Linked DNA regions of Mytilus edulis. The protein of the gene in region 2 purifies or fractionates together with the protein of the main gene of each other region. This does not show direct contact. Links are inferred from orthologs where the notes say so. Each region holds a gene or a part of one and is shown on either strand. Other genes may lie near its edges.

Region 1 (3,937 bases), on a different chromosome or scaffold from region 2:
AAACCACAGCCAGGTCAGAGCCACACATATATTTGAAAAGGCATATAATAATTATATCTTCAATTAACAGGCAAATATTCCCAAAGGCCCAATTAAAACATTATCTGTACTCTCTATATATATATTGATAACTTTCTGAGTTCAAAACATTTATTTTAAATTGCAACACTTTTCAATGCCTCTAGGTTTTCTTGAATAAAAAGCCAATTAGATTTGTCACTTGTGCTTAACTTTTCAATTTTTTTACAACTTATTATTATATTATCATTAAATTCTTTTCTTAAAAACTTATAAAGGGGAAACTGACATTTATGGTATAGTTGCCAATGACATAACAGCCTGGAAACTTATCACCAGAGTCCCAGTCTCTGTTAGCAGTGACAGTTAAATTACAAGTCACTTGACATACATCAACAATCAATACATTCCATTGTTTTAAGGCAAATGAGGAAAATAAGAGTAACAATAGCTTTTGCCTTCCTACATGCACAAGAGAATATTAGAAATTATAATATAAATTAGTAAATATCAGAGGCAAAAAAGACAGGACTTAGCCACTGGACTTTTAGTAAAGTACCCTTACTAATCCTTAGAGGAGCTGTTGTATACTAGAAAAAATTATGTTGATGATTTGACCCCATCAATCAGCATTTTAGCATTAATACATTATTGTCAATTGCTATCTGCTCTATTTGTTCCAACCTGTCATGAGAGTCAAAATGTATATCTAGGGTGGGAATTAAACCCATGTATGTTCATTTACTTTATTGTTCTTTGTGTACACAAAATGTACATGTCCATGAAATATATCAAATGCAAAAAATGCTGTAATGTATCATTACACCCTCATTAGTTAAGGACCAAGTAAAAGAAGTCCCTGCACCTACATGTACCTAGACGTATTTCTTGGGTAAGATTTATTATATAACTATTGAAAGTATAACACGATAAATGTTATTGGTAAGTATATAGTAACATCAACGTGCAATTCAAGTAAACAAACTGTCAAACATAAACAATCTACCACGTGTTTGTCTGCTGTGCTTGAATTCAAAACGACCCATCAGGCTTATTTACACGAATTTTTGCTCAAGCAGACAGTTAAATATGTCCGTTTACCTTATGGGGTCTGTTAAGAATGTATTTGCTGTTATAAATTGTGTATGCATGGAAATATAAGGAAGATAACATTGATTTTTACCGTAACTTTTGAATACATAACATTCCCAAGGTATCCCCACAAAACACATGGCTACTTTGTAACGACGGCTGGTAACGTGTAGCCACTTTCTAACGGCAAATGCGATTGGATGATCTTCAAAGATCAATAATAAAATTGCTAATAAATGATTGGATACCAATTTCTGTCAGATTATAAATAGGTGAAAAAATGTAAACATTGAAATCCGCCATCTTGACGTAGGAAACAAACTAATTTTCAGTCTTGGATTAAAGGACATTGCGCACATTGCCAGCGTATCATGCATAAACAGTCATCTGCAAATATATCTTTCAATTTGTGTTTTACACTTACTTTTCTATGTTTTATTTAATTTAATGTTTTAATTTACTACAGAATGGGACATCGTTCTCAAAGATGCCGTAGAAAAAATTATAGGTGGCGCTGTTTGTGGGCGTAAACATTTTACATACGGGTTCTTTTTTTGTCGACAAATTGACCTCTATCTGTCAGATTCAGGCGTTTGCCTTCCAACTGTACTAGGTTATAAGTTCCTGTAAATTTTAGGACTACAAGATATTGTGACTTCAAGGTATTGAGAACTAAGTTAGTATCTGTATGTGCACCGGTTCCATAATCCACTTCCATATATAACAAATTTGTAAAAACATACTTGAGATCAAAGAAGCCAAGCTGTGAAAATAATTTCCTTTTCATGCTTAACAATTTGTACATCAGTGTTTTATCCCATCAAAGCTGACTATTCTATTTGAGAAAAATGTTATTTTCATTATTAATCCATCAAAGACAATTCATATACCAATCACTCAGTGATATCAAAGATTTCAAATTATTATAAATATATATTTCTTTCATTAATGTAACATATACATATTGATGATCATAAATGAAAATAGGGCGAACGAACCCAGGGCGAACAAACTCAGTGCGAACGAACCTAGGGAAAACATGTAATCAGGGCGAACGATCCCGATACCATCACCCAATTACATAAAAAAATGGTGGGTAAAAACCCCAATTTGTGAATTCTTATCTGGAGCTCTGTAGCCATTTTTATATCGGGCATGCTATGCCTGAATTTTTTTACAGATACGCAGGTTTGTCTGTACTCAGAGTAAATTTTGAGGTGACAATACAGCCATTTTAGCCATGGCATAGGGTCCACTTGAACCTTAAGTGTATTGCATGTGCATGTGGAAGATAAAAGTTTGAGTTCGTTGACAACTATGCCAGTTTGCCAACTAGTTGTCGTTGTCTATGATGTTTCTATCATTTTGACAATAGTAGTTAAATGTGACATTATCGCAGTGTAAAATAGAGAGACAATTTTTATTTGTTTACATAACTGAAATTATTATAAGGTGACCCTTTTCTGATGTAACATTTCTAACCAGTGTAAAATGAATTTGCAATTCCAAATAAGCCCCCAGCGGCTGCTAAGAGGCCTAAACCAGCTCCTGCAAATTTGCCTCCACCGCCTTTCATGCGGCCAAGAGCTTCTCCCATTTTTTTAGGATCCATGGTCAGATTTTCTTTTATTAGCCGGTATCTTGACTTTCAGAACATGTGGTGTAAAATCTCGTGTCATCTAAATCGCGAGAGTGATTAAGAGAACGTAAATATAGGTAAGCGTTTGTTTGACATTGACGAAAAAAGAAATGAAAAATGTCATTGACATTTATAAACTTCAGAACACTTAGTAATGCAACTAGGCAATTAATTAAGACATCATTACCCGGTGTTAGTCTTCATCCTACCTCAGCTTTTAATGTTCAACACAAGAGGCCGACTATATGTGACAAGTATGAATAATTTCTAAAACACTTTTATAAATAATAAATCATTTCAGTTGACATCCAAACTGCAGTTCAGTTGTGTTATGTGTACAGATCTTCAGCAATCTTCTTGGAAAAGCCTCCTTTGGCAACAAATCGCCATGTCAATCCGTTCTTAGTTGTTCTGCCAATTTTCAAGGTTGCATTTTGTGTGCCAGCAAGTAAGACAGCTTGACGTCTGTGATTTCAGGTACAATGTATCACTATCAGGTCCATTCGCGCCCAATACACTTTCACACCTTACACGTTTGCACCTTCCACGTTCGCACCCAAGTTCCGTTCGCGCCTAATTTTAATTTAAATTCAAGTTGAATAATTGGAAAATCATGATTGTTGTTTTAAATTGCTTTGGTGTAAATACTAAATGTATATACATAGCTTGGTATGGGTAAAACATTGAAGATTTTAAAAGAAAAACACAAAAGATAATTGTTTTTAACAGCTTGGTCCCTTTGATCTGAAACAATTAAACAATAAAATATAGCTATACACTTTTATAACCAAAACATGATAGAATCCCACTTTATTTAGAAAGGATTTTTTTAATTTTTTTAACAATACACTATCCAAAACCTGATTAAGATTTATTCAATACAAAAAAAAATGCTGTCTCACTTTATTTTAAGACAATGACAACAGATATACTTATAAGAATACACTTGCCAAAACTTGATTACAAAGTTAATAAACACAAAACAAATTAAGATTGGGCGCGAATATGTAGGTAGCGAACAGACTTTGGGTGCGCACATGTAGGGTGCGAAAGTGAAAGGGGGCGAACATGAGTGGCTGCGAATATGAATGGGCGCGAACAGACCCGGATGTCTAACAGTGACGTAATTTGATATATGACGTCACTTCAAAATGACCTTTACATTTGTCATTGAAGAAAAATATAACA
Region 2 (3,937 bases):
TAAAGTCTATAAATCAAGAAAGATCAACAACTTCTCTGTTAAGAATTCAGCATAAATTTACATTTGATTTAATATTATGCACTGGCCAATTATGCTTTAAGTGTAATAAAGTAATATTGTTTTTATTCTGGTGTCAATGTTACATTTTATGTTTTGAAATTAAGTGGCCAGTTATCTTTATAATGCTGAGAATGAATACAAGTACTAGTTAATCAAATTGGCAATTAATCTGTGGTATTTCATGTAAAAAATTAGATTGATAAGGCAAACCGTACAAAAAAAAAGCTTTTGCATGTATCATAGACACCTTTCCTTGGTAAATATTTTCGTGTCAATGTTATGTACAGAAATCTCTCCAGCAATAAAATGAATATCGTAAGGGTCAAACCTGTTTAAATACAAGATAAACTTATATTTTTTGACAAAATTGCAAAGCAAGTCACACATCATTATCAAAGAACCTAATTTACACAGGAAGTGCATGTAACACTTCATTGTGAGGTCAAATTAACCTGGTCCCACTCTCTTATCATCTGCTTGATCACTGGTAGATGCCTAGTGTGAAAGATGACAAAGCCACATTTTAATGTAATTGTCAGTGGGTTGAAATGTGAAAAAAATAATTATGGTAATGCTTACTATAAAAAGTATACAACTGTTATAAAAAGATGAGTATTATTGGGCAGTATTGACACGAAAATGAAATAAATTTTCTTACCTTCTATATTTTTCAAACTTCAGTTGATTGATAAAAATCATGAAATCCAAATTTTACCCATTGTTGACACCTTTCAAAATTTGCCATGCTGGACCAATAACTTGTTTCCAAAGCTAATCAGCTAATGAAAAGGTGCATGTAACATTTGTTGACGGGAAAAGTTACATGCACTTGTCCATTTTCAAACGTATTTTATTTGCAGCAATAATCGGATTCTGTACAAAATGGGGTTTCTAAATGATAGACAGATCATTTTGCAGTTGATTTTCAACTATGATAGTAGAACAATTCTTCAGGCATATTCTAAATATGACTAGGGGTTTTGCCACTGCAGAAATGTCACACTTTTTGTCTACAGTTTTCAACTACCAGCACATAACAAGTGCTGATTTTTTGTTGATTTTTTTAATTGGATCCATTTTTTTTGCATTTGGCAATAAAGACTAACGCACTTTGATATTTAAACAATGTTAAAGCTCCATATTTGCATGATTTCTTTATTTTTTAATTGGATAAACACTATTGACCCTAAAATTTCACTAGCGAATTCCTGCCCATATATGAAGAAAAACAGGAACAAATTGTTAAATCAAGGTTATAATGAACCAAATCAGTTGGAACGATTTGACCAAATCTTTGACAAATTGGCTTGGAACAAATTGGCTTGATTGAAACAACTTGGCTTGGAACAAATTGACAAGCATTCTTCCCGGAGAATACAATGTTTTCAACAGGTTGGGGACAACCCATCAAATTGGGGACTGTTCCCCAAATGAGTAACAATCCCTCATTTGAGTAATCATTTGGTAGTGCTAAAAAACAAAATTTTCTTATCTGAGTTGTTTTTCTTAAAATGGCACATATTCATGAAAAATGTAGCAAATTTTCCAAAAAATGATTATCCCTAACTTGATTTACTGAGAAGATACAAGCCTATGAAAAATTAGAAAATTTGACTATTTTCAAGGCTACTAACTTTTTTAAAACCCCTAATAAAAATATAGTTCTTTGCTAGAAGTTGTTCCAATTTCTATAAATTTGTGCCATTTTACATAAAAAGACAAATTTTTAGAAAATTTAGTTTTTTAATAGCACAATAGTTATGAAATGATTACTCAAATGAGGGATTGTTACTCGTTTAGGGAATAGTTCCACATTTGGCAGGTTGTCCCCAACCTGTTCAATGCAAGTTAAAACCCCCTGTCTTCCAGCTTTACTTCAAACTTATGAGGGCCCTCATGGGGTTTTTGATTATGTGATTACTTGGCCGTTTTTTTAATGATTATTTGATTATTAAGCCAAATATTTCACGATTATTTGATTACCTAGGGCTGTATTTTTAGTTTATGATTATTTGATTACTAAAGATAAGCAAATATTTAATGATTATGTGATTATATTGGCAAAAAAATGGTGATTATGTGATTACTAGGACCCCCCCATGAGGGGCCTCACTTATCATGTTTATGGATTACAAAATAATTAATGGATGAAACAACCTGTTCAAGGATTCAACACACAGGCACTTGTTTCTATCCATAGGAAGGTCGACTATCCATATACTTCTATCTATATGGATAGTCGACCTTCCTATGGATAGAAACAAGTGCCTGTGATTCAACAATAACAGTAGGTCTAACAGACAGTAATAAATTATCTGATTACGGGTAATTTGCCGGCATATTGCGGTTTTCTCATCTAGTTACACTCACTTAATCGTCGTGTTGATTAACAATTATACGCTTTGCTATGAACAGAACACTCATATTATATTGTACGCTTCATTTATGTAGTTTCTTTCTCTATTTTGGCGATAATTTAGTTTAAGTCTCAAATCTTTGCCAAATCATAATAATGCCGCTTACGAATGTAATAATAGGTTATTCACAACAACATTATTTTATGAGTTTGTGCTTCGAAGATTTTTTTGAGATATTTTGTCTGTATTATTTTAGGTATTTGCACACTTATATTGCAGATTTTTCTCTTTTTTTTTAATTTTAAATTTTCACATATAGCATTGAAAAATAGCACGGGCAATAACTCAGTTCGTGATTTTTTTCAACTTCCAGGCAAGGACCGAAGCTCATAAACTCGGCAACCTTGCTTCGGAAGTTGGATTTTTTTTGTATGTTCTGTATGAGTCTTCATTCACAAGGAGCACCACTATTTCAGATCAGAGGTGGAAATAAAAAAAAGTTGCTTTCATTAAAAAAAGAAAAAAAAAAAAGAAAGAAAAGCAATACGTGAACCTAAGACCGCTGACTGCTGGGTCACCAAAGGAGGGACCCAGGAAACACATGACGTCCTTGCGACGTTATGTATTGGTCGCTGGAAGGTCATGACTGACGTTACGAAAGTACGACGTTGTTGCAACGTTGTGAGAATGTAATTTTACGTCACGTCAGATACGACGTAGAACCGACGTCAGGACAACGTTATTATTGTTTTTGATAACGTTTATATTACGTTGTTGCAATGTCATATTGCGACGCATCTGTCACGTATCTGTGACGTTATAGCAACGTCGTCATATTTTTGGTCGATAAAATATTAAGTTGATTTTACGCTATTATAAAAGAGGAACCATGTTTTGTCATCAATAATACATCGTAATAATAATAAAAAAATAATAAAAAAATAATTGCAATATGTACTGTTCATCGATCAAATATATCACGTAATTAAAACGTTGTAGCAACGTAATTGTCGACATCCCTAAAATTTACATAGCAAAATTTCTTCTTTTATTATGTACTAGATTTAATTTGTCTTGTTTTTATTGGTAGAACTAATGAACAATATTTGATATGAGGCAGGCATTACCTGTGAAAGGGGACGAAGTCTGTACGAATTTATTCATGTTAAAAAAAAGATACGGAAATACCGTAACGTTTCCGATTTTGGTTCCGTTGTTAGGGCTTTTAGTTTTGACGCTTTTTAAGTGATGACGTCATATTCAAAGTAAACGCCATTCACCAAGCCACTGCACTAAGATCCAACGTAAGTAAATTTATCTGTATTCTTTAACTGTTGTTTTTTTTCTTTTTACTTTTTATAAAGTTTCTATTATAAAGGAACAGAATGATGTTCCCGTAAAGTTTTGTTGACGTCATAAAACAAAACATCTGACGCCACAATGGAAAAGTGATTGTCAAAAGTTAGAGAGGCCGGTATATGTCAAAATACAGGATTTGGTGTTTCAAGCATGATTTTTGT

Evidence for each region.
Region 1: the proteins of brefeldin A-inhibited guanine nucleotide-exchange protein 3-like (region 2) and prohibitin-2-like purify together in Homo sapiens (affinity purification with western blotting; 4 studies listed by BioGRID). This does not show direct contact. The link is inferred for Mytilus edulis from reciprocal best matches to the Homo sapiens genes ARFGEF3 and PHB2.

The regions. Positions count from the first base shown.
Region 1 is NC_092356.1:14,001,180-14,005,116, forward strand, and holds the start of prohibitin-2-like, read right to left. Parts: upstream 2,798-3,937; 5' UTR 2,723-2,797; coding exon 2,593-2,722; intron 1-2,592. Other genes in the region: large ribosomal subunit protein uL29m-like, read left to right, coding at 2,867-3,003.
Region 2 is NC_092353.1:63,908,934-63,912,870, reverse strand, and holds the start of brefeldin A-inhibited guanine nucleotide-exchange protein 3-like, read right to left. Parts: upstream 2,594-3,937; 5' UTR 2,431-2,593; intron 1-2,430. UniProt on the Homo sapiens protein: Participates in the regulation of systemic glucose homeostasis, where it negatively regulates insulin granule biogenesis in pancreatic islet beta cells. Also regulates glucagon granule production in pancreatic alpha cells.